Linked DNA regions of Stegostoma tigrinum. The protein of the gene in region 1 purifies or fractionates together with the protein of each later gene. This does not show direct contact. Links are inferred from orthologs where the notes say so. Each region holds a gene or a part of one and is shown in the gene's direction. Other genes may lie near its edges. The genes, in order: ctnnal1 and adra1d.

The links.
Region 2: the proteins of ctnnal1 (region 1) and adra1d purify together in Homo sapiens (tandem affinity purification; 3 studies listed by IntAct, with this or other methods). This does not show direct contact. The link is inferred for Stegostoma tigrinum from reciprocal best matches to the Homo sapiens genes CTNNAL1 and ADRA1D.

Annotation. Positions count from the first base shown.
Region 1 is NC_081355.1:106,360,898-106,377,211, forward strand, and holds the start of ctnnal1 (alpha-catulin), read left to right. Parts: upstream 1-8,516; 5' UTR 8,517-8,620; coding exon 8,621-8,707; intron 8,708-16,314. UniProt on the Homo sapiens protein: May modulate the Rho pathway signaling by providing a scaffold for the Lbc Rho guanine nucleotide exchange factor (ARHGEF1).
Region 2 is NC_081354.1:171,204,738-171,220,965, reverse strand, and holds the start of adra1d (alpha-1D adrenergic receptor), read left to right. Parts: upstream 1-7,490; 5' UTR 7,491-7,924; coding exon 7,925-8,858; intron 8,859-16,228. UniProt on the Homo sapiens protein: This alpha-adrenergic receptor mediates its effect through the influx of extracellular calcium.

The DNA of each region.
Region 1 (16,314 bases):
TTACCTCAAACTTCTCTAAGTGCCCTGCTATAACTTCTTTAATCATAGGTTTTTAATATCATCTCTAAGACAGAATGTAAATCTCACTGAATGTAGTTTTCTGCTTTTTCTCATTCTCCCTCTTTTTGAATAAAGTAGTTACATTCACTATTTTCCAACCAAATTTAAATTTGCACAGTTTGGAAAATTAAAACTAATGTCACAGCCGTGTCTTTAGACAAAAATGGTGATTCAATTTCTGCATTGGCTGAGGTTACCATGAAGGAGGCTTCAACTCAACCTCTCCCCTTACCTGAGGTGTGGCGGCCCTGGGTTAAACCAGCACTAGTGGTGGTATCATTGATAGCAAGGAAAGTTATCAAGAATTACAGGAGGACCTTGGTCAGATGGGGAATTGGAGTGAGGATTTGCAAATGCAATTTAATACAGATGAGTGTGAGGAGTTGCACTGAGGAGTCAAACCGAGGTAGGACTTATACAGTAAATGGTAAGGTCCTGAGGAATGTTATGGAACAGAGTGATCTAGGAGTACAAGTACATAGTTCATTGAAATCAGCATCACAGGTGGACAGGGTGGTGAAGAAGGCATTTAGCATGCTGGCCTCCATTGGTTGAAGCATGGAGTATGGGAGTTGGGACATTATGTTACAACTGTGTAAGTCATTTCTGAGGCTGCAATTGGAGTATTGTGTACAATTTTGGTCACACAAATTTGGACTGGAAAGTGTGCAAAGATGATTTATGAGGATTTTGCCAGGAATAGTATGCCTGAGTTGTATGGAGAAGTTGGCCAGGGTAGGACTTTATTCATTGGAATGTAGGAGAATGAGAGATGACTATATTGAGGTATATAAAATCATGAGCGGCATATATAGGATGAATACACATTGTATTTTTCCTATGGATGGGAGTTGAAAACTACAGGGAATAGGTTTAAGGTGAGAGGGGAAAGATTTAAGAAGGATCTGAGGGGCAACTTCTTCATGCAGAGAGTGGTGCTCATGTGGAATGGCTGCCAGAGCAAGTGGTTGAGGCAGATACAATAACAACATTTAAAAAAAAGATTTGGATAGGTACATGGATGGGAAGGTTCTGGAGGGGTATGGACCAAATGCGGGCAATTGGAACTAGCTGAGTGGGCACCTTGATCAGCATGGACCAGTTTGGGCTGAAGGACTTGTTTCCATGCTGTATTACTTTTTGACTCTAGTCAACTCTCTGTAAGAGAGAGCAACCCTGTGGTCCTGTAGGACTATGACAACTTTATCCTCAACTTTTCATTATACAGAAAATATTATAAATGAGTTGGTCCATTTGAATAACATCACAAGTATAGTATTATAATTTAGTTATTCTACCTGTGGCATGTTGTTTTACTGTTGATCAAAATGTGAGGAACTGGAGGTAACAAGGGAAAAATGCGTTCTCACTTTTACCTAGAATTTATATGTGGAATATATATGTGGTTGCTGGAAAACATTGTCACTTTAGAAAACATGTGCTTAGTTATTAATTTCACTCATTGGTAACTACCCATTCACTAGAGTGATGCTTAAAGTGAACTCTGTCCATGCCATTGATGCACACACATTCTGCTTGTTTACTTACAGCTGCTACTTAACTGCCAGGTCATCTTTTCATCTGCTGTGGTTTCTCCCTTTGACATCCTCATGTCTTCTTTCCAAATTTTTAATCCCACTTTGTACTGACACCACAAATATTCTGAAAACCACAAGTTTCTTTTTAGTTATAATTCTGTGTTACTGTGGCACTGCACACTAAACAGCTGGAGTACTTCAGACTGTTTAGAAAAGGCTAAATTGTATACTGCACTGAACAGTTAAAAGATTTACTTTTAACTTCCAAAAAAATGCATTCCTGAAGCAGCTTCTACAATACAAAATTCTTCAAAATATTTATAAGTGACAAACGCTGAATGGGAAGTAGCTGTGAAGTTGGGGAAGGTCGCCAAATTTATAACTGATCTTTTAGAGACAGCAAGAGCTGCAGATGCTGGAGTCAGAGATAACACAGTGTGGAGCTGGAGGAACACAGCTGGTCAGGCAGCATCAGAGGAGCAGGAAGGCTGATGTTGCGGGTCAGGTTGTTTTCTTTATAACAGAGTGAGGGCTTAGAGAGGATGACAGGCGATTGAAGGGTCAATAACGAGGGGACATAATTTTAAGATAAAAGACAGAAGGTTTAGAGGGGAGTAAAAGAAAACATTTATTCACCCAGAGAGTAGTGGGAACCTGGAATGGACTTACTGGTAGTTGAGGCAGGAAACCTCACAACCTTTAAAAAGTACTTGAATGAGTATTTAGAATCATAGAATCATACAGCACAGATGAAGTCCTTTGGCCTATCAAGTCTGTACTGACAAACATACACCACTTCTTACACTAATCACACAAGGCCCACAGCCTTGAATGTTATGATACTTAAGGTGCTCATCTCAGCACTTTTTCAAAACATTGTGACGTTTTCCTCCTTGACTACCCTCCCAAGTTGTGCATTCCAGACCCTGCCACCCCCTGACTGATAAAGGTTTTCCCCCAGTTCTTCCTAAACCTCCTGCTTTTCATTTGAAATTTGTGTCCCCTTTCTATTGACCCTTTGAATAAGGGGAGAAGCCAATTTCTATCCATTTTGGTCATGCCCCTCATAATCTCATAGACCTCTATCAATCTTCATTGCTATACTCTCAGTTACATGCATGATCACCTCCTCAAAAAAATTCTGCCAGATTTGTTGGACATGATCTCTCTCTGACAAAGCCATGCTGACTGTCTACGGTCAAATCTTATGTCTCTATATGGATATTAATTTTGTCCTACAGTATTTTCTCCAAGATTTTCCACTGATAGTAGATCCATTACCTATAGTTCTCTTACCTATCTCCACTTCCTTCCTGTAAAGTTAAATTGCATTAGCTATCCTCCAGTCCTCTGGCATCTCCCCAGTGGTAGAGATGGTTTTACAATTTGGGCCAGGGTTCCTTTAATTTTCCCCCTTGTATCCCAGGCTGCTCTGGGAGACAACTGGGATATAACTCCCATAGACCACTTTTAACACCGCTGAAATCTCCAATAGCTCATCGATTCTGATATCAATCTGCTCAATAACTTCATAGTCCATCTTTGAAAATTCTGTACTTGCATTTTCCATCATCTGAGTAAAGAGAAATGTGAAGAACTCATTTAACATGCTACCAATGCCCTCCAGCTCCACACGCGGTTTGACCCTTGGTCCCTAAAGGACCCTACTCATTCCCTGGTTATCTTCTTTCCCATGATATATTTGTAGAATATCTTGGGAGTCTCCCTAATCTTGTCTGCCAACATTTTGTCCTGCCCTTTCATTGCTCTCATAAATTCACCCTGCATTTTCCATACTTCGACACCAGTGGATCTCCTATAGCGTTAAAGTAGTTTTTGTTAGTGCAGACGCAATGGGCCAAAAGGCCTCTTTGACGATATGATTCTGCTGTCAGTTAGCATCTTCTGGGCCTGCTCAGTCTGGATGAATGACCTTTATTGTCACTGTCTAGACTATAAAGAGCAGGACATCCAGGTCACACAGTTGTGCCTTCTACTATCAAAGTCCAATATTTGAGATGTCTTCCCTGAGGCTCTCTGTTTATCTTGCTCATTTTCTTCCTTTAGGACACTCTTTGAAAACTAGCTCTTTGACTAAGCTTTTGGTTTTCTGCCCTCATTCTTCTTTATGTTGCTCAGTGTCAAATGTATGATGGTCCTGTGAAATGCTTTTGAACATTTAAATATGTTTACAGTCAATGGAACTTTGAACATAGGGCTTACGAGCCAGAGTAAGCAATTCAATCATTTGGATGATCTAGCTGTGTTCTCAACTTCACCTTTCTATCTTCCCCCATCACCCGAAAACATCTAACCTAATTAATTTCCCTTTGAATAAATTTGATGACTGAGCCTTCACCACTTTCTGGGGAAGAGAATTCCAAAGATCAATGACCCTTTGAAAGACTAACATTTCTCCTCATCTTGGTCTTATTTTTAAACTGACTCCCCTAATTCTAGTTTCCCCACAAGTTTAAGTGTAATCCTTCTGGTATTCAGTCTATCAATTCCCCCAGGATGTTTTGTGTTTCAGAAGATCACCTCTTATTCATCCAAACTCCAATGGAGATGATCACAACTTGTCCAACTGTTCTTCCTAAGATTAATTTTCTTCCAAAAATGAGACAAATGATCCTTCTTGGAATTGCTTCTAACGGCACTCTATGGCTAAAAGTTGCTCATACTTATTCCCATTTGACATGTAGCATTTGATTTTGAGCACAACAATGATCTGGCCTCAGCAACAGCATCCAATAACGTCACATGCATTCCCTTGTCAACACAAATTTGGGTGGTAATCTAACTGAAAGTATTTGACATCCTAAAAACATTAATTTTTTTTCACTCATTCACAGGATGAGGGAATCCCTGGCCAGGCCAGCACTTATTGCCCATCCCTAATTATCCAGAGGGCAGCCAAGAAATAATCACTGCTGTGGATCTGGAATCACATGTAGGCCAGACCAGGTAAGGATGGCAGTTTCCTTCCCTAAAGGACATTAGTGAATCAGATGGGTTTTTCTGACAATTAATTCATGCTCAACATTAGACACTTAATTTCGATATTTATTGAGTCCAAATTCCACCATCTGCCGAGTCCCCAGAACATTACTGGGCCTTTATATAAACAGTCCACCAATAATACCACCAGGCCATTTCCCGCTGAGATAATGCAGAGGTAAGTGCCAAGGAATAATATTGTCTGTTGAAGGAATTCAGACAAGGAGCAACATTTGTAGATTCATTACAGAGCGGTCATGTTAGTAAACCTCTGATCCAGAGAAACAGAGTGACAATCCAGAAATACAAGTTAAAATGCCATCATGGCTAGAGAATTTAAATTCAATTAAATAATTGCTTGTATCAATAATGGGGACCATAAACCTACAAGAGCGTTATAAAAATGTATTTGTTCATGAGTGTCATTAAAAGAAGAAAAGAAAAAAAGAAGAAAATCTGCCACCTTTTTCCTGTCTGGTCTATTTATGGCTTCAGACACACAGCAAAAGCAGTGACTATGGACTGGCCTTTAAAATGGCTTCATAAACCATCCAGTAACATTCAAGAAGATGGTTTGCCGTTATGTCCCCACCAAAACTATTGTCAGACTTGACAGTGACATAGGCATTTTATGGATAAAACTGAAAGTAAATGATGCAAGAGTGATCGCAAAGTCTAGTTGAAAATGTGGAATTCTTATGCTCAAAATAGCCACAGAAGTAAGTGTAATCAGATCAATTTTGAATTGTAATTAACTGCATTAATACTGAGATTAACAGATTTTCATTAGGCAAGGGTATCAAGGGACGTAGATCAAATTTTATAAATAAAAATGAGATATAAATTAACTGCAACCTACTGGAATGTTTGAAGAATCTAGAGGTGCGGAATGGCATATTTGTGTTGCTGTTATAGTAGTGAGTGCTGAATCTATTTTAAAAAATGGCTCTCTTTTGGCAATGGCAAAGTAATATGGATGCTGGAAATCTAAAATCACAGAAAATTCCAGAAATATTGGACACATTTGACAGCATCTGTGAAGATTGGGGTACACAATTAACATTTCAGGTCTGTGATCTTCCAATGAAACCTCCCTTCTGCTTCATCTTAGTCATTCTCACACTTCATGGAATAGTTTCTTTTGGTGCTTTTTCAAAAAAATGTGCAGCACTGTTCTCCACACTTTCACCTTTGTTCAACTTATTTTCTAGTTTCCAGACCACCTTCTCAGACTGAATAATGCTTTTGTTAGTTTGCTATTACTCTCAAATTTGATCACTTAGAATTGAATCCGGGTCTCGGCCCGAAACGTCAGCTTTTGTGCTCCTAAGATGCTGCTTGGCCTGCTGTGTTCATCCAGCTCTACACTTTGTTATCTGGGATCTGTGAGTGTATTGGTTAAATTATTCCAAGAAGACAGACATAAACATCACTTCTGTACTATATTTTGCAGTGATATCAAAATTTTCAAATACTTATGACTGGGTACAACAACCATAATTTAAAATATAACAGAAATTGCTGGAGAAACTCAGCAGATCTGGTGGCATCTGTGGAGAGAAAGCAAAGTTCAGTTCTGTTGAAGAGTCACTGGTGTCTCCAAGCGTTGGCCCTGCTTTCTAGAACATAGAACAATACAGCACAGAACAGGCCCTTTGGCCCTCAATGTTGTGCCGACCTGTGAACTAATCTAAGCCCCTCCCCCTACACTATCCCATCATTATCCATATGCTTATCCAAGGACTGTTTAAATGCCCCTAAAGTGGCTGAGTTAACTACATTGGCAGGCAGGGCGTTCCATGCCCTTACCACTCTCTGAGTAAGGAACCTGCCTCTGACATCTGTCTTAAATCTGTCACCCCTCAATTTGTAGCTGTGCCCCTTGTACAAGCTGAAGTCATCATTCTCGGAAAAAGACTCTCACTGTCCACCCTATCTAATCCTCTGATCATCTTGTCTCTCCATAGCTTGCCGAGCTTTTCCAGCAATTTCTGTTATTGCTTAAGATTTCGAGCTTCCGCAATTCATTTAAACCAGTATCTTTTAAACCAATGCTCCCACCACAGTTCTGAGCCTTGTTGGCCGACAAAGTCTTGTAGTTATAGAACATAGAACAGTACAGCATAGAACAGGCCCTTCAGCCCACAATGTTGTGCCGACCATTGATCCTCATGTATGCACCCCCAATTTCTGTGACCACATGCATGTCCAGCAGTCTCTTAAATGTCCCCAATGACCTTGCTTCCACAACTGCTGCTGGCAACGCATTCCATGCTCTCACAACTCTCTGTGTAAAGAACCCGCCTCTGACATCCCCTCTATACTTTCCTCCAACCAGCTTAAAACTATGACCCCTCGTGCTAGCCATTTCTGCCCTGGGAAATAGTCTCTGGCTATCAACTCTATCTATGCCTCTCATTATCTTGCATACCTCAATTAGGTCCCCTCTCCTCCTCCTTTTCTCCAATGAAAAGAGACCAAGCTCAGTCAACCTCTCTTCATAAGATAAGCCCTCCAGTCCAGGCAGCAGCCTGGTAAACCTCCTCTGAACCCTCTCCAAAGCATCCACATCTTTCCTATAATAGGGCGAACAGAACTGGACGCAGTATTCCAAGTGCGGTCTAACCAAAGTTTTATAGAGCTGCAACAAGATCTCACGACTCTTAAACTCAATCCCCCTGTTAATGAAAGCCAAAACACAATATGCTTTCTAAACAACCCTGTCCACTTGTGTGGCCATTTTAAGGGATCTATGTATCTGCACACCAAGATCCCTCTGTTTCTCCACACTGCCAAGAATCCTATCCTTAATCCTGTACTCAGCTTTCAAAGTCAACCTTCCAAAATGCATCACCTCGCGTTTATCCACGTTGAACTCCATCTGCCACCTCTCAGCCCATCTCTGCATCCTGTCAATGTCCCACTGCAGCCTACAACAGCCCTCTATACTGTCAACGACACCTCCGACCTTTGTGTCGTCTGCAAACTTGCTGACCCATCCTTCAATCCCCTCATCCAAATCATTAATAAAAATTACAAACAGTAGAGGCCCAAGGTCAGAGCCCTGTGGAACCCCACTCACCACTGACTTCCAGGCAGAATGTTTTCCTTCTACTACCACTCGCTGCCTTCTGTTGGCCAGCCAATTCTGTATGCAGACAGCTAAATTCCCCTGTATCCCATCCCTCCTGACCTTCTGAATGAGCCTACCATGGGGAACCTTATCAAATGCCTGTTTCCCGTCAGGGAGCAAAAGGATAAGATTATCACTGCAAATCTTCAAAATTTAACAAGACCAGATCCCGTTTATGTGGGATTGAAGTACAGTAAAACATACTTCAAGAAAAAAAGACAAATGGCAAAGTGGTTAGACCAACCTGAGCACAGACAGTGAGGGCAGCTGTGTTGCTAAACACGTCTGCAAATCAAAAATACAAACGGAAACAGATTTAAGCTAAAACCACCTCCACCAAAAAAAGATTGAGTTTTTTTTGCAGTTACCTATCTTTGGCAAGAAGTGTAAGGGAAATTGGTTTCCGATTGATTTTGCGAGTAACCTTTCTCAGGAACCCAGCAGCAGAGTGCAGTAACCAGCCTGAGGCTGCATGTTTTGTGAATATGACCCCGGAGTTGGTGTTAAAGTTGAGAAGAAGGGTGCGGGGCATGGCTCTGGAGCGATGCTGTGTGCCTGGGGCTGCTAGGGTCACCAGCAGTGGCCGCCGCCGCTGCTTCCCTTCCTCTGAGCACCACACTGCAGCTCGCCAATGAACTCAATGGCATTTGCTGTTTTGAAACCACGTTTTAACGAGAAAACCGTATGTACCACAGTCAGAGCACCAATGAAAACTCAAATCCCAACACTGTTACCTCCCCCATCCCCTCTCAACACTTTCCAGAGCTCCTCCTACAGCCGGAAAGAGACGCAACTCCCTCTCTCCCGCCTCTCAGTCACTCGGAGAGGGAGAGGGAGAGAACGAGATCGGCTCTGCATCTGCAGCCGTACCAGCGGACTCAGCGGTATCATGGCTTCTTCCCACTGCAACACCGATCCCGGACTGGAGATCAAAACCAGGTCGGTGGAGCAGACCCTCATCCCCCTGGTGACTCAGGTATGTGTGCTGGAAAAGGGAGGGCGAGAGAAGCGCTGGACTGAGTGAGTGAGAGGCAGGGGGATCTCAGGGCAACGCAGAATGAAAGCTAGGCAGGAGACCCCTCCGGGTAAATGAGCAGATTCCGGGTCGCCACATAGGGGTAGGGGAGCAGGGGCATCTCTCCGACACCCCCTTCAAGTAAAAAGAGAGGGACTTCTGACCCCCAGCCCCCTCCACCGAAGGTATATCAATGAGATTGTAAAAGATCTGAGACTCCCCGAAAGCATGCGGAGAGACCCACATTAAACGAACTGAGTGGCTCCCAGAGCTACGTGAATATAGAAGTCCTGGGACCCTCAGAAGCATGGGTGATGTATAAAATTAATCCCTTGGCATCTTCAACGGTTGGGATTTTAGTGTTTTCAGGTGGGTATAACTACTCAACAAACTCATTCCCGCACTGTTAGGAGAGGTGATGGATTAAAGTGCCCTGTGCTGGCAGCCCCCTTTTCCCATTGTACCGTGCTCAAAGCTAACGTGCAGCTCTGTTAAAGACCTCCACTCCATGTAGCAGGAGAGGATGGAGTGGTTATTTTATCCGGAGGGAACCGTTCTGACAGCACATTGCAGCCGGTGAGAGGCCACACGCGAATGTACTGCCGCCCCACAGGGACATGTAGACATACAGGAAAAAGTACAGAGGCATGCAGTTCACAGAATGGAGCCAGTGTTTTACTGGAAAGTTCAAACTCAGTAGCTTTCGGAGAGAGCAACACTGACTTTCACCGGAGAACAGGGACGTATTGTTTCCCGTTTAACTTCCAAACCGAACACAACTTCGTCATGACAAATAATGCAACGTCCACAAATGTGTATTGGGAACTTGCTGAATGTCCACTCGTGATCCGCTGATGGTTTTTCGCTCACATCACTCTGTTAAATCAACCAGCACAACTCTGCAAGGCTGAGCTTTATCGAGCTCTGGCCACTTTTCTACCGGCAGATGCTTTAAATTGAAGCATGTGCTCATAATGTTTGTTTTGCAGTTTAAGCTTTTTATGACACCTTTGTCTTAGTTGTCCTTTTCACCAGCAAATCGCATAATCCCGCTGTTATGTGTATATAATTAGGCAAAGAAAGAGAACTTGGGTTATTGAAAGAAACCTCTTAAGATCACCAAATTTTCTCCTATATATCAGATTAAACCATATGCTTTGATAGATTTTTGAATTCTGATTTAATTTGTTCTTGTAAGATTAATTTTATTGATGTTGTTTAAATCGTTGAAAATGCAGTTCAATAGATGTTCTGAGCAACACATGAGAAAGTGGACCAAGCAAAATGGATTCATGACATTTTCCATGAATGTGAACATTGTACTACAGTATTGTCTAAACATCACATTTGCAATGGATGTAAATATTCATTTCCTGTCACAAATTAAGCTTTCTGAAAAATGCTACTGCTAAGCTAATGGCTTTCAGTGTTATTGATGTACACATATTACAGTGACTTCAGGCACAATGGAACATGGACATTTGAAAGTTGCTACTGGGGTGCTGTTGCTGCACTGTTCATCTCATTATCTGGCTCATCATTGAACTGTGTCAGATAGCACAAAATTCTCACTCTCCTGTAGATTTTAGAATCAACTAAGCAGAGAAAGTTGTCTTGACCATTTTAGCCTCCGTACCTACTTATGATGTGTTAACCATGATCAATCAACTTCTCTAGCAATGAAAATGGGCTATTTCAAGTGTGAGTTTCATTCATTCAGATTTTCCTTGTTGAAGAAAATGTAAAACTTAAAACAGCTTGCACTGTTCCTTTTTTGTGTTCCTACCTCTGTCCATTTTTACTTCTCTTTTTATAAGTTTTACATTTTCTTCAACAATGAAAATTTCTTCTACTGCACCCAATATGAATTTCCCCATTCTAACCTGTACGTGCTTCTCAGTCTTTGCACTGTGAATTTCATAATCTTCCATTCTGACTGGGTAATATGATGTGCAGCTGCTTACAGTTTGAGCCAGGTCCCAGATACTCTGCTGAAGTATTGTCAGATCATACTTCCAGTAACTGGCTATGCACATTTTTAAAAACTCACATGTTTAAGAACAAAATTCATGTTTGGCAGTTACTTTATATGTGCTGTGGTACAGCAAATTCTGGTTTGTTGGGACAGAAAATGCCTGCAAAAGATGCACAAATAATTTTTTAAAATTTGAGTTAAATTTCAGTGGAATATGAATATTTGGCAATTTCTATGAAAGTTTCTGACTTACTATTTTCTTGTACATTGAAGGAACATTTATGTCAGAATTGAAAGGGAAGAGTAGAGAGGTCATTGAGAAAAAGCAGATATTTAGAACTTAGAGTTTATATTGTGTTGTGGCGTTGAGAGCTTGGCCTTTTGAGGAGCTTCAATTCTTTTCCTTTGGTCCATTGCTTAAATGCAATTTTATTTCAGCCAATACGACCATTGGTAGAAAGCAATTGCCCCTGTGCTCAATCACTCAAGTTTGCACTGAGTACTCTTTGTATTGTACTATTGAAATGTGATTATAAAATGTATGTTTGAACAAGCAGCATTTATAGTTGTAACATGAAAACACACTCATTTTTCTCGTTATTAAAAATGGGTGTCTGCATTTATTTTCCACATAATTACAGAACTTGACTTGAGTCTTCCATCACATAGCCCTTGGTCCATCCTGAAGACTTATTAATGCTAGTACCTGGAGCAATACTGAGATGATATACAGTACTTTGAGTGCTACTAAAATTTGTAGCTACTGCAGGATATCTTGCTGCGTTTTAAGATGTACAATGAGACATGATGATGAGATTTGTGTTGTGATGTACTCATTATGCCTTAGTGTTGAAAATGACAAACAGATGCCAATGTTGCCTAGAAACATTGAATATTGCCATGATGGTTCTTCGTGCATCAACACTGCTAGCAATTCCTGAAGTGTACTTGGTGACAATTTTTACATTTGATTATCAGTTTGACAGGATTATTTTCAAAGGGCTTTCATTCAAACAGCAACAAGACTATGTGCTTCAATATGGATTGGTAGCACAAGACTTTACAGATGCCTGCATTCATACATTGCGCATTATTGCTGTTTGATTCCACTCCCCTCTAACTTATTTTTGAAAGTTACTTTGGAATCAGTTTCAAATCAGGAATTTCAAATGTGTTAAAAATAACTCTCTGGCTTTTCTTCCCGCTTCAATGCATATCCAAGAGTATTTACACATACCTAGAGGACACAAAAATCAAAATTCTGAAAGTGTTACTCAAATTGAGTGCAATAGGCTGGTCAGTCACAGTGTTGAATACTGATCTAATACAATTTAAATTTAAATCTACACTTATTCCAGAATAAAGTCCTTGATATAAACTGTTACGCTCGAGAGAGTACTCTACATATACACATTAATCTTGGGGGAATGAGGATTGGGTTGTGCTGCGTGTTGTTATGATCTGGAATTCATAACCTGAAAAGGTGGCAAAAGCACACACAGTAGCTGTAACTTTCAAAAGATAATTAGCTGTATATTCTGACAAAATTTCCAAGACTATCACAGAAAAGCAAAGGGATAGAATAACCGGATAGCACTTTGAAAAGTACCAGCATAGACAGCTTTGGGTCAAAATTGCTACCTTCTTTGCTCAGTAATGTGGCTCACTATTATTATATTGTGCTTAAATGTGTTGAGGTTGGTTGGCTGGCTGAGCTGGTTTGTTGTTCTGCAGATGTTTCTTTACCATGCTTGGTACCATCCTCAGTGCAGCCGCTGTTGAAGTGTCGGTGTGTTTTCCTGCCTGGTTTGCAAATTCTGGGGTCCGTTGCGATGGATTGCCTCACTTCCGGGTTTCCTCCATGGTGGAATGTATATGAGGCCGAGTTCAATGTGTTTAGTAGTTAAATAATCCATTATTTTGCTGAGTTTTCCAATTGAGTTAAAGTTATAGCAATTCTTATTTCTTTTGTTTGTATTTTAAATGAGGGTAAGAATGTAGAGTTTTTTTTAATTCGAGTAGTGTAACCAATCCAATTACATCTGGAATACAGCACCTTAGACTTGCCTTTTAAACAAGATAAAAGTTGGGGTCTAGGCTATCTCCTTGATATATTTAAAGCGGTTTGGTCTGGTCCATAATTGCACCGAAAGTTAGACCAGGTCTGAGTGGCCGAATAATTTCTTCTTACTATTTCTTGTGGAAACTCTGGGGACTAGACCCAGTGTACTCAATCTCTCATCATGGGCCAATCCTGTCATTGAAGATTTCACAAGATTTATTCCAATGTACTTCCCCCAGCAAATGTCTCCATCCTGGATATCAAAACCAGAGCTGTATATGGTACTCAGGAATGCTCTCAAAATATAATTGTAGCAAGACTATTTTACTCCCTCATGCTAATCCCTTTGTACTAAAGGTCAACATGTCATGAATCTTCCTAATTGTCTTGTGCATCTGCTACCAACTTTCTGCATTTCCGCTGTGAGTGCTGCTAAATCTCACTGAACATTGACATTTAAAAAATGTCTATTCTGCCAAACTGATTAAGCTCATCTTTCTCCAGATTTAGTATTGTTGCATCAAGTTTAATTGGAGAATTGTGACTGAATTGATGGTTGTCCATGGAGCTAAGATTAGCCTGGTACTAAACAAGTTTTGCATTTATGACTAGCTGATGGTAACAGTGACAAAAGATTACTGCAGCAGCTCCCTTTTGTTTAGTATCAGTCCCAGATTTCCATAGTAGAAAGCTACATGAACAATTCTTCAATCTGTGGAGCTCTTTATCAGGTAATATCACTTTACTGGAACAACACCTTGCAGGTAGAATAAATGCAGTAACTGAAACATGAAGTGTACTGTGAAAATATACAGTGTGACCGTATTCACCCTGTACAGTTCCATGCATAACCACTGGAGTCAATTTTAATTCATCTGCAATTCTACATTTGTTTCTGTTTGCACCCCTATTTCTTAAGTAGAAAAATGTGTTGGTTCCAACCATAGCAACCCTAAAACTGCAGTTGCTTATTGAGAAGATTATACTCAGACCCGTCAAGGTTTAATAATATTTACTTGATTGCTTTTTGTGGCCTGGATCTTCTGTTCTTTGGATAGTCAAGGGTTGAATTTGGCTTGAAAGATATGCATCTGGGCTACTTGAGTGACCTGATGCACTGATGATGCAGTAATTGTCCAGGATATGTAAACTTCCAAAGGATAGAGGATATTTTAAACCATCTGACAAAGTTCACAACTTCCAGCTAGAGGCAGAGATTTTGGAATATTCTGAACTACGAACCTTAATAGTTAGCCATGAAATGTTAGAGCACATTTTAACTCTTAATTTGTATTAGACTTGCTGATAATTCCTTACTTAAGCTACATATATCTCCTTTATGGACTATAAACTGAAAAACAGAAGTTGGACATTACAAAAAACTCTCCTTTCAGCTATTTGGCAATGAATGTCATGTAGGATTGTTGGTGTCCCCTTTAGCTATGCAAGGTTTGTGATGTAGTGAGATGTGTACTTTGAGACTGTCTCAGAGTTAAGGAAAACAGCTTGATGACAGGTTTCAGGCTTTTCCAGCCGCGCTTTTGTCACAGGCCTGAGAGTGCAATGTAAGCTCGCAAACATTGAAAGTTTTCTGTCCCTTCACTCCCTATATGGAAAATGACCAAAAACCTGGAAACTGTTAAAAGGAAAGAATTCCACAAAAGGGCTAGGTCCACCTGATTGACCAATGCTGTGCGGCTGGATGATGTCATCACTGCTAAGAATCAAAAGAACTTTGAGAAATAACATATCCCATCTTTGTGGTCTGGATTTGATGTACGGAAAGTATTTTTATTTTGTTTATGTTTTTCTACCGTGTAATGTTTGTGTCTAATAGTCTATTTTTGTTTGTTTTTATTTGTGAATGAATATATATGCTTGGGGATTTCAGTCGCAGTTTAAGTCACATCATAGTAACTTGGTAATTTTTCCTCATTTTGTTAAACAGTAATTTTGATTTATAACTAGTTACTTTCCTGTTAATGAAACCTGATGTCATCGAGTCATACAGCTGCCGTATACAAACAGACACTTCGGTCCAAATTGTCCTTTCCAACCAGGTATCCTAAATAAATCTAGTCCCAGCTGCCAGCATTTGGCTCATATCCGTCTAAACCTTTCCGATTCACATACCCATCCAGATACCTTTTAAATGTTACAATTGTACAGTCTCCACCACTTCCTCTGGCAGCACATTCCATACTTGCACCACCCTCTGTGAAAACGTTGCACTGAAGGTCCCTTTTAAACCTTTCCCTTCTCACCTTAAACCTATGCCCTCTAGTTTTAGACTCCCCCACCCCAGGGAAAAGGTGTTGGCTATTTACCCTATCCATGCCCCTCCATAATGTTATAAGCCTCTACAAGGTCACCCCTCAGCCTCTGACACTCCAGGGAAAATAGCCCCAGCCTATTCAGCCTCTCCCTAGAGCTCAAACCCTCCAACGCTGGCAATATTCTTGTAAATCTCTTCTGACCCCATTCAAGTTCCACAGCATTCTTCCCGTAGCAGGGACACCAGAATTGCACACTGTACTCCAGGAGTGGCTTAACCAATGTCCTATACTGCGATTACATGATCACCCAACTCCCATTCTCAATGCACTGACCAGTAAGGGGAAGCATATCAAACATGTTCTTCACTGTCCTATCAATTTGTGACTCCACTTTCATGGAAATATTAACCTGCAATCCAAGATCTCTCTGTTCAGCAACACTCCCGAGGACCTTACCATTAAGTGTATATATCCTGCCCTGATTTGCTTTTCCAAACTGCAGCACTTCGCATTTATAAAATAAACTCCATCTGCCACTCCTCAGCCCACTAGCCAACCTGATCAAGATCCTGTTGTACTCTGGGGTAATCGTCTTCACTGTCCACTACACCACCAATTTTGGTGTTATCTGTGAACTTACTAACCACACCTCCTCTGTTAACATACAAATCATTTACAAATTACAAATCGCAGGGGGAGGCGATGGCCAAGTGGTATTATCACTGGACTGTTAATCCGGAGAGCCAGATAACAATTTGGGGGCCCGGGTTTGAATCCTGCCATGGCAGATGGTGGAATTTGAATTTAATAAATATCTGGAATTAAGAATCTAATGATGACAATGAATTCATTGCCAATTGTTGGAAAAACCCATCTGGTTTATTCATGCCCTTTAGGGAAGGAATCTGCCATCTTTACCTGGTCTGGCCTAAATGTGACTCCAGACACACCGCAATGTGGTTGACTCTTAACTGCCCTCTGGGCAATAAATGCTCCCTCATCCCATGAATGAATAAAAAAAATATAAATGGCAAAGAGCATCCTTGTGGCACACTGCTGGTCACAGGACTCCAGTCTGAAAAGCAATTCTCCACCATCACCCTCTGTCTTCTACCTTCGAGCCAGTTTTGTATCCAATTGGCCAGTTCTCCCTGTGTTTCATGTGATCTAATCTTGCAAACTAGTCTACCACAAGTGAATTATGTTTGTCCTGAATAACGGCCTGTCAGGCAATGTGATCATCTTAATGGTGTAA
Region 2 (16,228 bases), on another chromosome or scaffold:
AGAAGAGGCCTCACCAACATCCTGAACAACCTCAATGTAATGTCCGAAATCCGATACACAAAAGTTTCAGCATTGAAGGCAACGATGCGAAATGCATTCCTTACCATCTTGTCGACATGTGATGCAAATTTTAAAGAATTATGTACACGAGCCCTTAGGTCTCTCTTTTCTACAGCGTTACCCAGGGCCCTACTACAACAATACAACTGAAATAGAGAGGGGAAAAAAATAAAACAATATCAGAAGCCAAACATGGGATAAATTTCCAAGTCATAATGGTAAGCACTCTAAAAAACTTATGGAAATTAGAGATGGGATAGCTGAGTTACTAGTTTATAAAAATACTGGGACTGTAACGGGTACATTGCCAGTGGACATGCATCCAACAAATGGGTTCCATGTGAGTAAAAACAAGATGTGATCTCTAAGGATGATAACAAATTTTGGGGCTGGATGAACACAACAGGCCAAGCAGCATCTTAGGAGCATAAAAGCTGACATTTCGGGCCTAGACCCTTCATCAGAAAAGGGGGATAGGGAGAGGATTCTGAAATAGATAGGGAGAGAGGGGGAGGCAGACTGAAGATAGATAGAGGAGAAGATAGGTGGAGAGGAGAGTATGGGTGGGGAGGTAGGGAGGGGATAGGTCAGTCCGGGGAGGACGAATAGGTCAGGGAGGTGGGATGAGGTTATTAGGTAGGAAGTGGAGGTGCGGCTTGAGGTGGGAGGAGGGGATAGGTGAGAGGAAGAACAGGTTAGGCAGGTGGGGACGAGTTGAGTTGGTTTTGGGATGCAGTGGGGGAAGGGGAGATTTTGAAGCTGGTGAAATCCACATTGATTCAATTAGGCTGCAGGGTTCCCAAGTGGAATTTGAGTTGCTGTTCCTGCAACCTTCGCGTGGCATCATTATGGCACTGCAGGAGGCCCAGGATAGACATGTCATCTAAGGAATGGGAGGGAGAGTTAAAATGGTTCATGACTGGGAGGCGCAGTTGTTTACTGTGGACCGAGTATCGGTATTCTGCACAGCAGCACCCAAGCCTCCGCTTGGTTTCTCCAATGTAGAGGGAGCCACACCGGATACAGCGGATGCAGTACACCACATTGGCAGATGTGCAGGTGAACATCTGCTTGATGTGGAAAGTCATCTTGGGGCCTGGGATGGGGGTGAGGGAGGAGGTGTGGGGGCAGGTGTAGCACTTCCTGCGGTTACAGGGGAAAGTGCCAGCTGTGGTGGGGTTGGAGGGAAGTGTGGAGCGAACAAGGGAGTCACGGAGAGAGTGGTCACTCCAGAAAGCAGACAAGGGTGGGGTTGGAAAAATGTCTTTAGTGGTGGGGTTGGATTGTAGATGGCGGAAGTGTCAGAGGATGATGCGTTGTATCTGGAGGTTGGTGGAGTGGTATGTGAGGGCGAGGGGGATTCTCTTTTGCTGGTTATTACAGGGGCGGGGTGTGAGGGATGAGGTGCAGGAAATGTGAGAGACACGGTCGAGGGCATTCTCAACCACTGCGAGGGGGAAGTTGCGGCCCTTGAAGAACGAGGACATCTGGAATGTGCGGGAGTGGAATACCTCATCCCGGGAGCAGATGCAGTGGAGGCGAATGATTTGGGAAAATGGGATGGAACTTTAGCAGGAAGGTGGGTGGGAGGAGGTGTATCCCAGGTAACTGTGGAAGTCGGTGGGCTTGAAATGGATGTCGGTTTGTGGGTAGTTCGCTGAGATGGAGACAGAAAGGTCCAGCAAGGTGAGGGGTGTGTTGGAGATGGTCCAGGTGAACTGAAGGTTGGGGTGGAAGATGTTGGTGAAATGGATGAACTGTTCAAGCTCCTCTTGGGAGCATAAGGCTGCGCCGATACAGTCATCAATGTAACGGAGGCAGAGTTAGGGCCAGTGTAGGGGCGAAAGAGGGACTGTTCCACGTAACCTACAAAGAGGCAGGCATAGCTTGGGCCTATACGGGTACCCATGGCCACCCCCTTTGTCTGTAGGAGTGGAAAATTCTTGCAAAACTTCCATTCCATATTCCCAATTCCTTCACCTCCGCCGCATCTGCTCCCAGGATGACGCATTCCACTCCCGCACATCCCAGATGTCCTCGTTCTTCAAGGACTGCAACCGCAGGGACCCCGCAGTGGTCAAGAATGCCCTCAACCATGTCTCCCGCATTTCCCGCACCTCATCCCTCACACCCCGCCCCTGCAATAACCGTCAAAAGAGAATCCCCCTTGTCCTCACATACCACCCCACCAACCTCCAGATACAACGCATCATCCTCTGACACTTACGCCGTCTGCAATCCGGCCCCACCACTAAAGACATTTTTCCCTCTCAACCCTTGTCTGCCTTCCGGAGGGACCACTCTCTCCATGACTCCCTTGTCCGCTCCACACTCCCCTCCAACCCCACCACACCTGACACTTTCCCCTGTAACCGCAGGAAGTGTTACACCTGCCCCCACACCTCATCCCTCACTCCCATCCCAGACCCCAAGACGACATTTCACATCAAGCAGATGTTCACCTGCACATCTGCCACTGTGGTATACTGCATCTGCTGTATCCTGTGTGGCTTCCTCTACATTGGGGAAACCAAGCGGAGGCTTGGGGACCGCTTTGCAGAACACCTCTGCTCAGTTCACAATAAACAACTGCACCTCCCAGTCGCGAACCATTTCAACTCCCCCTCCCATTCCTCAGACAACATGTCCATCATGGGCCTTCTGCATTGCCACAACGATGGCATCCGAAGGTTGCAGGAACAGCAACTCATATTCCGCTTGGGAAGCCTGCAGCCTAATGGTATCTATGTGGATTTCACCAGCTTCAAAATCTCCCCTTCCCCACCGCATCCCAAAACCAGCCCAGCTCTTCCCCGCCTGCCTAACCTGTTCTTCCTCTCACCTAGCCCCTCCTCCCACCTCAAGCCGCACCTCCACTTCCTACCTACTAAACTCATCCTGCCCCCTTGACCTGTCCGTCCTCCCTGGACTGACCTATGCCCTCCCTACCTCCCCACCTATACTCTCCTCTCCACCTATCTTCTTCTGTATCCATCTTCAGTCCGCGTCCCCCTCCCTCCCTATTTATTTCAGAATCCTCTCCCTATCCCCCTTTTCTGATGAAGGGTCTAGGCCTGAAACATCAGCTTTTATGCTCCTAAGATGCTGCTTGGCCTGCTGTGTTCATCCAGCTCCACACTTTGTTATCTCGGATTCTCCAGCATCTGCAGTTCCCATTATCTCAGCTCTAGGGGTGAGTCGATTTAACATCTGCGTTATGAAAACGATTGGAATCTATTCTAAAGAAGTGGTTGAAGGTTGTTTAGAGTGACAAAAACAAATGAATTTTGAAAAGCTAAGTCAAATGGAGCCACATTGCTCACAAAGTGTGGAGCTGGATGAACACAGCAGCCAAGCAGCATCTCAGGAGCACAAAAGCTGACATTTTGGGCCGAGACCATTCATCAGATGAAGGGTCTAGGCCCAAAACGTCAGCTTTTGTGCTCCTGAGATGCTGCTTGGCCTGCTGTGTTCATCCAGCTCCACACTTTGTTATCTTGGATTCTCCAGCATCCATTATCTCTGGAACCACATTGCTGTTCCTTCACTGGTGCTGCATCAAAATCCTGGAACTCCCTTCCTAACACCACAGCAGGCTCCCTATACCCCAACGGCTGCAGCAGCACAAGGCGGGGGACATCACCATCTTGTTCAGTGCAATTAGAGATGGGCAACAAATGCTGGCCTTGCCTTTGAGACCAACCCATTAACTTTTTAAAAAAAATACTTTCACACTTTGGACTTCGGGGCAACTTCCTCAAGATCAATAATTGCAGACGATGCCAGACCGTGAGAACAATGAGCAGGAAAGCAAAAGAATGCAAGAGGGTATTAGACGATTCCCAGACCAAGAAGTTACATGGTGAATGAACTTTAGTATAGATGATTTTGAAGTGATGCAATTTGGGTAAGCAAAAGAGAAACATCTCTTCAGTATGAGAAAATAAGAGTCCCCATGGGCTGGATTAATTGAAAGCAATGTTACAAATGAAAAACAATGTTTAAAAATGCTAAAAAAAACTGAGGTTACTTCTGGTGTTCAATTCAAAATTGGTGATGCAATGTTAAATTTGTGCAGAGTCCAAACTCAGGATTCTGGTTTCCATTTTATGCAAATATGTCGGACTATTAGCAAAAGAATGGGAGGTGAAAACGGCATCTCTTTCTCAGAGAATGATTGGCATGTCGACCTCATCAGTGGTTGAGGGACATTGTTTAGAAACTTTAAGAGGTAAACTAAACAAGAAGATGGAATAAGACGGAATAGCTAGATATAGAGAAAGGTTGATGAAGCAGAGGAAATTAAAGTTGGCACCTGTGGAGTAGCAGCCCTAGCACAGGCGAGTTGGGCTGAATGGTCCACGCTCTCTGAATTCATTCTGCGGTGGACTTGCGATCCTTTAACTGAATAAAGCCACTGAAAGGGTAAAACAAAATTCCCAAGGGATGCAGATCCCCCTCCCTGTTGTCCCAGAAATTGCTCTATTATCGTTACAACACACACCCACTTCAGAGGGAATTAACATTTCTGTCTCGGCCCAACTTGCGCTTTACAGTCGGAATCCAGAGTGAGCCCAGTCGGCCCATCGCGCCTTCAACTGTCAAATGGCATCTCACCACGTGTAACCTGCCAATTGGGGTTTCCGGTGATAACAACTTCACTCGCTTCTAGATTAAATCTGACGTCCGCCGCACCCTCGGGCACTGTTGCAGCTCCTGTAATGACTCGCTGCCTGTCTCCGTCCACAGTTACTGCTTTTAGCAGAGACTTTACTTTTCACTGTACTCCTGTATAGAACATAGAACATTACAGCACAGTACAGGCCCTTCGGCCCTCGATGTTGTGCCGACCTGTCATACCAATCTCAAGCCCATCTAACCTACACTATTCCATGTACGTCCATATGCTTGTCCAATGACGACTTAAATGTACCTAAAGTTGGCGAATCTACTACCGTTGCAGGCAAAGCGTTCCATTCCCTTACTACTAAGTAACAATAAAGGCTATTCTTTTCTAATCTATTCTGTTTGTATCGGTTCTGCTCAGTAGACTGTTAGCTGTGGGGCGGTGTATAGTTGAGTGGCACAGCCCGCTTCTGGTTTCTGTTGGATTTACACTCCAGGCGGGGACAGATCAGCGACTTCTGGTATTTCTGTGATCCAGACCGGGCGGGGGAATGAGATTTCAGAAATGTTACTGTGTTCGCGAATTAATGTCCTCCCAGCGCACATTTTAAGGGTCGATTCGCGGGTTGTGATATTGAGGAGATTTACAACACTGCGAGGGTCAAGGGAAAGAGTGGTTTTTTTTATTATTAAGGAGACCAAGCAGAGGATTTTGTTTTCGGACTGACGAGCTGAGCAGCGGCCAGCATTGATGACCTTTCGGGTCGATCAGTGACTTCTTCACTGAGTGTGGGTGCACTAATATCGGGCTGATTTCGGGACTGTCTCCCCAGGGTCTCCCAGACCGAATGGGGCGAGATTTTGAGACAAATCTGGCTCCTTCTGTGCAAATAGCTTTAGATTTTCTGTTCCTTCAAATGGTTCTCGGTAAAATCTCAGCCACGGGACTCCTTAGATATAAAAGGAGCAGGGAAACATGGATTCCAGTCTTCAGCAAATGCTGGGAATCTAAGGAGATTGACCTGAATTATGAGTCAACGATTAATTCCCCGATTTGTTCAGAACAATAATTGTGTACTAATCTGAATCTGCGCTTGTATTCGCTTCATAGACAAACGCGGGACAGAATAAAATTCCGTGTCACGCTGGGCGACCACCGATATCTTCGATGCTAATCATTCATAATGCAACCTTGAGCTACCAATACAGTGTGTTTTAATTCCCCCACTCCTTTATTTATCGAACAGAAATCCCACTACACTTATAATGGTCCCCTGTAAATTGGAATGACTGGGCTCGAGTCTCCCCGGACCTTTCCGGTGGGAGGCATAGATCCAGCAGGAGAGGAGGAAGGGATGGCAGAAAGGAGGGAGGGATGGGGGAGGCAGGAGGGAGCGGGAGGCAGGAGGAGGGGAGATGAAAGAAATCGAGTCCGCTCGCTCAGTCAGAAAGTTAGAGTTAGCTGTTGAAGAGGACAATAACAGGCAAAGCAGCCGAGAGAACAAAGTTAGAGACGATTGGAAGGCGACAGCAAGGCGGGGGCAAGATAGAACAGGAGTCGGGAACTGGGGATGGAAAGATCAGAGAAAAGTCCGTGAGAGGAGCCGGGGACACCAGGAGGTGGGGTGGTGGGGTGAAGTGGAGTGAGGTACAGAAACAAGACGAAAAAAACAGACGGGGACATTGATGGAGAAAGGGTTGAAAGAGATGTGGGCTCGAGAGAAGAGCGCGACACAGAAGCTAAAGAAACGAATGAAGCAAGGAGAGCCAGAGGTCCTCAGCTAGAGGAGAGGGCAGAACATTATCAGACATTTTCCATTCTGATAATTTTCTACACTGGTCAGGCGACTGTTTTCAACCTTCCTGCGTAAAACATAAATAAACAAGTCTGTTCAATGCCATGTTTTACTCGACCATGTCTTGGTCGGAATATTTATTTTACATTAATGTATGTTGCTACAGAAACCCCAAAACGTGCGCTAACAGTTGAGACATTTCGATGAGTTCCGCCTCACCTCTCCTAAGCAAATCGCCGTCTTAGTTATATCGAGACTAATGAAAGCAACGAGTTCCGACACTGAATCATTCACTTTTGAACTGAATTAAAAACAAAACAAATTTTGTCGCTGCGTGTCACAAGCGTATAGCCCGGTTTAAGCAATGCGTTTAATGGAATCAAATTGGCAGAAAGTAATCGTATAATTAAAGTTAATATTAAAGGATTATTACAACAGAACTGGTAATTCCGCCCAGTAATATTTACCTTCCAGGGATTCAACTTGACATCTGGAATACCAATTTCAATTTTTATTCGTTCAGCGGCAAAAGAGAAGAGAAACTGGCTTGTTATTGAAAAACAGAAATGATTTTTTAATGTAATTTTTAAAAAGCGCTAGAAAAATTAACTCAACAAAAAGACAGCAATCGAGCCCCGGCACCAATCCTCACGTGGAGATTCGACACAGCGCTCATATGAAAATTTATGGAGATTTCGGTTCCTTACTTTTACACAGGGCAAGACTTTCGTGAGTTTTCATCAGTGCAGAAGAGGAGTTTTCAGCCTAAAAAGCGAAAACTACAGGTATGGCAGCATCCATGGGGAGAAATCAAAAAGTTTTTAATGTTCCTTCAGTAAACTGGGGATGCTGGCTGGCTCTGGAGGGGTCGGGGGGTGGGGGGGTAGAGCAGCCGACTCTTTGCCGCCCTCTGTCAGTGTCCCCTACACACACACATACACACACAGAGAGAGAGAGAGAGAGCCCGTGACGTTGGGACCATCCCGAGGAGGCGAGGTTTAATGTGATTGAAAAGTGATCTTCAAGCTTCAGCATCCAACTGCTTTGAAGAGATTTTCGTTAGTGGTCAGCGTGGGCGATATTTCTGACCGCTCTCTCGGTTTGTTTCTCTCTCTCTCTGTCTGTCCGAAGGGGTGTGGAAAGACGGAGCAACATTTCTTAACCTGGGCTTGTGTGGATAAAGTGAGCCGCTGAGAGACAGAAAGGGAGAGGGGAAAGTAAAAGTTACAGCGCGAAGTAAATGGGAGAAGGAAGAAGATGCAGGAGGGCTTGAGGGGGTTAAAGTCCAGTGAGGAATGAGTGAGCCCATCCCCTGAGCAAAGCTTGGGTGTGCGGGGCAGGGGAAGAAGTTGCCCAAATCTTCCCCCCACCCCCCCTTCCCCGACACACACACACACACACACACACAATCCCATTCCAATGGAGAGCCTGGCTGCTCTAAGATGACTTGGGAGGAGTGGACGAACCGGAGTGTGGACGGTAACGGCTCGGGGGGAGCCGGCAACAGGTCGAGTGAGGAAGGGGCGGCGGGACTGGACGGCGTGGCCGTGGGGGTGGTGCTGGGCGCCCTGATCGCCTTCGCCATCGCCGGTAACATTCTGGTGATCCTCTCGGTGGCGTGCAACCGGCACCTGCAGACGGTCACCAACTACTTCATCGTTAACCTGGCGGTGGCGGACCTGCTGCTGAGCGCCACCATCCTGCCGTTCTCGGCCAGCCTCGAGGTGTTCGGCTACTGGGCTTTCGGGAGGCCCTTCTGCGATGTGTGGGCGGCCGTGGACGTGCTCTGCTGCACCGCGTCCATCATGAGCCTGTGCACCATCTCCATCGACCGCTACATCGGCGTACGCTACTCCCTGCGCTACCCTGCCATCATGACCGAGCGGAAAGCGGTCTGGATCCTCCTGCTCCTCTGGCTCTCCTCCCTGGTCATCTCGGTGGGACCCCTCCTGGGCTGGAAGGAGCCCGCTCCCGCCGACGACACCCTGTGCAGCATCACCGAGGAACCGGGCTACGCCCTCTTCTCGTCGCTGTTCTCTTTCTACCTGCCCCTCACCGTCATCCTGGCCATGTACTGCCGCATCTACGTGGTGGCCCGGAGGACCACCCGCAGCCTGGAGGCCGGGGTCAAGAGGGAGCGAGGGGGCAACAGCACCGAGCTGGTGCTGAGGATCCACTGCCGGAGTGCGGCCGGGCCGGGGGACGAGCCGGCTTCCACCCTCAGGGCCAGGGGCCAGGCGCCGCCGCCCCTCCGCAGTTCACTGTCCATGCGCCTCCTCAAGTTCTCCCGCGAGAAGAAAGCGGCCAAGACCGTCGGCATCGTGGTCGGTGTCTTCGTCCTCTGCTGGCTTCCCTTCTTCACCATCTTACCGCTCGGTAGGTAGAGCGTGAGGGAGAGCGCGGGATCAAAACGGGGTGGGGAACTTTCTAACAGGGTCAAGCTGCGTGTAAACCAACTAAAAATAAACCAGAATGTTGCTGGATAAAGCTCAGGCAGCATCCGCGGAGAGAAATCAGAGTTAAAGAGTTAAGGGTCGACAAACCTTGTAAATGTGTCTCTGTGTTTGTGTGTGTGTGTGTCCATCTCCGCTTCAGAATTATCAGCAAAGTCCAGATATTATCACATGTCATGGGTCTCAGTAGCTCAATGTCATTGGTTCTGTGTTGCAACTCTCTCTGATTCTGAAACCTTGTGAGTTCTCACCTCTATTGACTCTATCCCACTATTAGGCAGTTCAGAGATTCACTGTGTACCACATGGGACTCGAACCTGGGTTTACTGCCGCTGTGCCATCGCAAACCGAAGGAATACAGTACTATTACATATCACTCCTTGTCCCACCTCACTGTAAATCGGCTAACTCTGAGGGAGACGGTGTTCGGGTTTTGATTTTGAGATCCAGATCACTCATACCCAGATGACGCATGCCGACTTTTCAAACTTCCAACCCTCCTGTCGGTGGCACAGACTTCATTTGGAAGGCATCCTAATTTCCCATCACGTCCTGGCAGGTTAGTCAGCGCTTCAGGCGCCTCGCCATCTTTTCATCGAAGAGTGTCGGGGTGGGTCACGGCTCAGTCAGTCCAATCAATCCTTTGAGTTTTACTTTCCCATAGGTGGGATGGGGGGAGGTGGGGGCGAAGTTTTATTCATGACCTGTTGGATTCTAACTGGTGATCGCCTCTCGAAGGTGGCACGGTACAAGTTTCATTTGCGGGCAGCTCAGAACTAAAATGCTCCACTGTCTTTTTTTTTAAATCAGAAACTGACGTTCCCGCCAAAATCCCGGGAATAGCACGAACTGCAGATGCTGGAGTCTGAGTCAATGCAGTGTGGAGCTGGATGTGGTGGGGTGATGGAGGGTTTAGGCCCTAAACGTTGACTCTCCAGTTCCTCTGATGCTGCCTGACATGCTGTGTTCCTCCCAAAGACTCGCTGCTCAGATTAAATTCAGGCGGGCAGAATGCACTGGGAATGCATAATTCCTGATCTATAGGAATGAAGCACAGAACCAGAATTTAGAGCCCGATGGGAGCCACTCTTCTGGTAGAAATTTATGAGTGGGACTTCACACCTAGGCATTCTATTGTTTTGTTTTAATCACTGGTGAGATGTGGGTTTTTACTGGCTGGCCAGAATTTACTGCCCATTCCTAGTTGCCCTTGTGAGGTTGGTGGTGAGCTCCCTCCTTGAACCTCTGCAGTCCATGTGCTGTGCATTAACTGGTAATGCCTTAAGGGAGGGAATTCCAGGAGTTTCACCCAGCAAAAGTCAAGGAACAGCAATTCATTTCCAAGTCAGGATGGTGAGAGGTTAGGAAGGGAGCTTGCAAGTTGGTAGTGTTTCTATGTATCTACTGCCCTTGTCCTTCCAGATGGAAGTGGCCATGGGTTTGGAAGATGCTGTCTGAGGTTCTTTGGTGAATCTTTTCTGCAGTGTATCTTGTACTCATCTGCTGCTGCTGAGCTTCGGCGGTGGAGGAAGTGGATGCTAGTAGGTGTAGTGCCTATCAAGCGGTCTGCTTTGTCACGGATGGTGTCAAGCTTCTTGAGTGTTGTTGGAGCTGCAACCATCCAACTAAGTGGGGAGTATTCCATCACACTGCTGATTTTGTGCCTTGTAGATAGTAGACAGCTTTGGGAAGTTACTTGTGAAAGTAATCCTGGCCTATGACTTGCTCTTGTAACCCATGTGTTGATGGGGGTGAGTCCAGATGAGTTTCTGTCAATAGTGACCACAAGAATGTTGATAGGGGATTTGTTGATGGTAACACCATTAGAACATAGAACAGTACAGCACAGAACAGGCCCTTCAGCCCACAATGTTGTGCCGACCATTGATCCTCATGTATGCACCCTCAAATTTCTGTGACCATATGCATGTCCAGCAGTCTCTTAAATGACCCCAATGACCTTGCTTCCACAACTGCTGCTGGCAACGCATTCCATGCTCCCACAACTCTCTGCGTAAATGTCAAGGGGTTGTGGTTAGATTGTCTCTTACTTTAGAGAGTTATTGCCTGGCATTTGAGTGGTGCCAATGTCACTGGCCACTTGTCTGCCCAAGTGTGGATATTGTCCAGACCTTGTTGCATTTCAGCATGGACTCCTTCAGTATCTGAGGAGTCGCACATCATGCTGAACATTGCACACAATCATCAGTGAACATCCCTCCTTCTGACCTTATTGAGGAGGGAAGGTCATTGAAATAATTAAGATAGAGACTTGTTAAAGTTGAGTCACATTATTAGGGATTTCAGTTTTCCTAATGAACATTTTCTGCCTTGGTATTACATTTGGAAAGGAACACTGTCAAAATTTAGGTCTGCTACATCTTCAGAGAAATTCAGTGGATAGTTTGTGTGTTCTTAACTGCCCTGTAATTGATTATGTTGTTGATATCCCTAATTTGCTGTTTGGTGTACTTTTGTCTCAGGTGTACAAATAATTGATTGGTATTATAATTACAGTGTACTATTTTGTTTTCTGTGTCTAACTGCATTTATAATATGGCTACAAAACAGAAACCAAATCAATCCATGCTAGCATTTAATCTACAGTTGAGCGTGATCCTGCCTCATGAGTTTTCTTATCTTCCTTTAAATGTAGCGCTATTTATGTCTATTATATCAGCATTATGTTCCACTTTCTTATCATTCTTTGGGTAAAGAATTTTCTCTTCAACTTATTCATTTATTAATCAAATAATATCTTACATTTATAACCTTTAACACTTCCTCACAAATGGGAACATTTTCTCTGCAGCTGCACTATCAAACTGTTTTATCATCTTAAAAGATGCCTAGGAGATTGCTTTTTGAAATTAAAGATCCACTCAGTTCTGATGTCATCCTCAAGAATCTCTTTTGTATCATCTCCGATGTCTTTCTAATCATACTCAGACTGGAACTGCAAGCTTTCTCGTTTCATTAAACTTTGATTCAAGCTGATCATGATTCCTAAGGGCTTTTCAATTCTATCTATCTACAAATGATTGCCTGTGCTTAGTTTGCTTTTTATGATTTTACCAACCGGTATAGTTACTTTTAATAGTTTTAGTCATTCCGTGGTTTTTATGAGGTATGGATCTGTGCTGTTGACTTTTGTCTGATCCTGCATCTCATTCACACTCCAATTATTGAAGGAGTATGTGTCCTCCTTATTTCTGCAACCAAATAAACCACCCTGACACCTATTTATATTCCTGTACTCATTTCATTATATTACCAATTCTCTCAGTTTGTTTATAATCTATATCATTCATATATTTCTCAAGGATAGTTAAGGATTGGCAATAATGCTGGTCTAACCTTAGACACCCACAGTTCTGTAAACAAACAAATACAAAATTGCTCACCTTTATCCTTTAGTAAGTATAACATTTGGTGTCACCTCAAATATGGAGATTGTTCATTCAATTTGCACACTCCTATCATGATGACAATTGCAAACCTCAGTAGCCCCAGCACTTTTTGGGACACCTTTTGCCCACCTGATCCCTTATCTCCTGCAGTTGGATTCTTTACCGGCTTGCTATCCATTTTCTCCCCTGACTTCGGCTACGTTGTGTGTTATTGAATACTTCTTGAAAATGCAAATACGTTAAGTGGACCACAATAGTTTTGTCTATGCTTTCTGTTATGCTTGGAGGATTCAGTAAGGTTGGTTAAGAAAACATCCCCTTTTAAAGCCCATTTGGCATAATCTTTTCTTTTATTTCTGGAGTGAGGATTTTAATTATTTCCTAAACAAACGCATTTAGGGTGTTGGTGGACTAACACAAAACTTACTTTTAGCAGAGTTACAGGCATATGCTATCCTGTTACCGAACTTTCATTTCCTTCATTTCAAGGACACTATACTGCAAACAGACTCCACTGACTGTTAAAGACTCCACGATCTGGAAAGTGCTCAGAAAAGATGCTATAAAAATACAGATTTTTCTTTTCATTTAATGTTCATTTTAGGATAATTGTTTTCTATATAATTCGTGCACTACTTGTATCATGCTAGACTAACTGAAATGCAACAGAAACCAGGCAGACCAACAGAAAAAGGGTGACATTCAGGATTGAAATAAGATAACAAGGTGTGGAGCTGGATGAACACAGCAGACCAGGCTGCATCAGAGGAGCCAGAAAGCTGACATTTCGGGTCTGAACCCTTTTTCAGAAATGGGGGAAGGGAAGGGGGTTCTGTAATAAATAGAGAGAGCGGGAGGCAATGATAGAAGGTGGATAGTGGAGCAGATAGTTGGAGAGAAGACAGACAGGTCAAGGAGGCAGGGACAGGGGGGGACTGGTCTCGAGATGAGATTGGGAGTGGGAAGATTTTGAAGCTCGTAAAGCCCACATTGAGACCATTGGGCTGTAGGGTTCCAAGGCAGAATATGAGGTGCTGTTTCTCCAGTTTTTAGGTGGCATCACTGTGACACTGAAGGAGGCCTAGGATGCACATGTCATCCAGTGAGTGGGAGGGGGAATTGAAGTAGTTCGTGACTGGGAGGTGTTGTTGTTCGTCATGGACTGAGCAGAGGTGCTCCACAAAGTGGTCTCTGAGCTTCCGCTTGGTCTCCCCGATGTCGAGGAAGCCACATCAGGAACAGTGGACACAATAGACCACAGTAGCGGATGTGCAGGTGTACATCTGTTTAATGTGGAAGGTTTCCTTGGGGCCTGGGATAGAGGTGAGGGTGCAGGTGTAGGGACAGATGTAGCATCTCCTGCGGTTGCAGGCAATGTCCCGGCAGCGGTGGGGCTCGTAAGGAGTGTGGAGCGGATGAGGAAGTCACGGAGAGAGCAGTCCCTCCGGAAGGCAGATAAGAGTGGAGACGGAAATATATCCTTCGCAGTGGGGTCAGATTGCAGGTGGCGGAGAATGATGCGTTGAACCCAGGGGTTAATGGGGTGATACGTGAGGACGAGGGAGATTCTGTCTTTGTTTTTATTGGGGGGAGGGGGTGCGAGGGCTGAGGTGCGGAAAACACAAGAGATGTGGTCGAGGGCATTTTTGACCAATGTGTGGGGGGGCAATTGGGCCCCTTGAAAAACGAGGACATTTGGGATGTCTCAGAGTGGAAGACCTCATCTTGGGAGCAGATGTGGCGGAGGCGAAGGAATTGGGAATAAGGGATAGCATTCCTGCAGGAAGCTGGGTGAGAGGAGGTGTAGTCGAGGTAGCTTTGGGAATTGGTGGGCTTGAAATAGATACCAGTTTCCAGGTGGTTACCAGAGATGGAGACAGAGAGGTCCAGGAAGGAGAGTGAGATATCAGAGATGGTCCAGGTGGTCTTAAGGTTCAGGTGGAAGGTGTTAATAAAGTAGATGAACTGTGAGCTCCTCGTGGGAGCACAAGGCGGTGCCGATACAGTCATCAATGTAACGGAGGAAGAGGTGGGGGATAGTGCCAGTGTAGCTGCAGAAGAGGGACTGTTTCACGTATCTTACAAATAGAAATAACATTTGTTTCTGTGATCTAAATTTTTAACTTGAATATGAAGTTTCAGTTTTAAAAGTTTTGGTCGCACTAATGACTTAAATTTGAATTAAAAACCCATAAACAAGTATATCATTTTGAAGCAAATGATAATTACTTGTTATTTGACTAATTTGAATTTGAATCAAATTAACTGTGGACTGATATTTTAGGGTTAGCTAATATTATTTTGTTGGATTCCATTTTAGGCAAGTCCTTCCTAAATTGCATTATAGTTGAAGTAATACTTGGATATCATAAGACTAATACCTAGTATGTGACCTCAGAGTATAGAAGTCCCTGCATCAGTACAAAGTTTGCAGCCTTAGGTAAACAGTACAACAGAACAACTTGCGACTAAAATGGAAAGATCAGAAGGAATTCTTCAGTGTTCTTTTATGGAATAACAAGTAGAGAAAGAAGCTATTCAGCTCATCATGCCAGGCCCAGCTCTCTGAAAGACTTAGCCAATTAGTCTAACTCCATGAGCTGTTTATATCCCTGCATGTTTTTTTTGTAAGAATTCATCCAGTTCTTTTTTGAAAGTTAATATTAAATTTATTTCCACCACACCTTCAGGCAGTGCATTTCAGAATTAAAAATTCACTGAAATCAAAAATCTCCTTCCAAATACAGATTTAAGGAAGTTTAATTTTTCCTATGATACAAAGAAAATACTGACATTGGCAGTTATGACAAATATAAAATCTTGCTGCAATCTTTTTCTGAAGCTTTACATTGTGGACAAAGATTTGATTGAGACACTCCTTAAACTCAACCACTGAGATCTCATCATGGATGTAGGGAATATGATCAATAAGTTCTCCAATGATATAGAACGATAAATAGTGAGGAGGAAATCCTTTGACTCCAGGACAATATAGTTGGGCTGGTCAGAATGGCTGAATTTTGGCAAATGGAATTTAATCCTGAAAAGTGTGAGGTAATACATTTTGGAAGACTAACAAACCAAGTGGGCCCTTGATGAATAGCAATATTCTTGAAAGTGTGGAGGATAAAAGGGACTTTGGTGTGCCTGAAGGCAGCAGGATGAGTAGACATGGTCGTTAAGAAGACACATGGGATATTTACCTCTATTTGTTAGGATATTGGTTACAAGAGCAAGGTGATTGTGATGGAGCTGTATCTAACATTAGTTCAGCCACAGTTGCAATACTGTGTGCAGTTTCTGGTCACCGCACTATGAGAGGGTGCAGAAAATATCCATCAGAATGTTGCCTGGGCTGGAGTGATTCAGCTATGAAGAGAAACTAGATAGGCTGGTGTTGTTTTCCTTAGAGCAGAGAAGGCGGAGGATGGAATCTGATTGAGATATGAAAAGTTCTGAGGAACATAGACAGGGCCAACAGGGTGAAACTTGTCCCCTTCACAGACGAGTCAATAACTTGGGGACACAGTTTTAAGGTAAAGTGCAGGAGGTTTAGAGGGAAGTTTTGAGCCAATTTGTTTTCACGAAGATGTTGGTAGGTACATGGAATTCACTGTCCAGAAGGGTGGTAGAGGTGGTAATGCTTCAGACAGTTAACAAGTATGTAGATTAAAATTGAAGTGTCATAGTATACGGCTAGTTAGCTTCATGCCAAATACTGGAAATGGGATTAGAATAGATGGATGTTTGATGATTGGCATGGAGCTTCCCTCATTTCAATTTAAACAGCTCAGACTCAAATTTTGTTTGGTAGTACTCTTGGAAAAGACGTTGGGCAGTTTCATGCATAGATTCCGTAGTGCAAGCCGTTAAGATACAAACA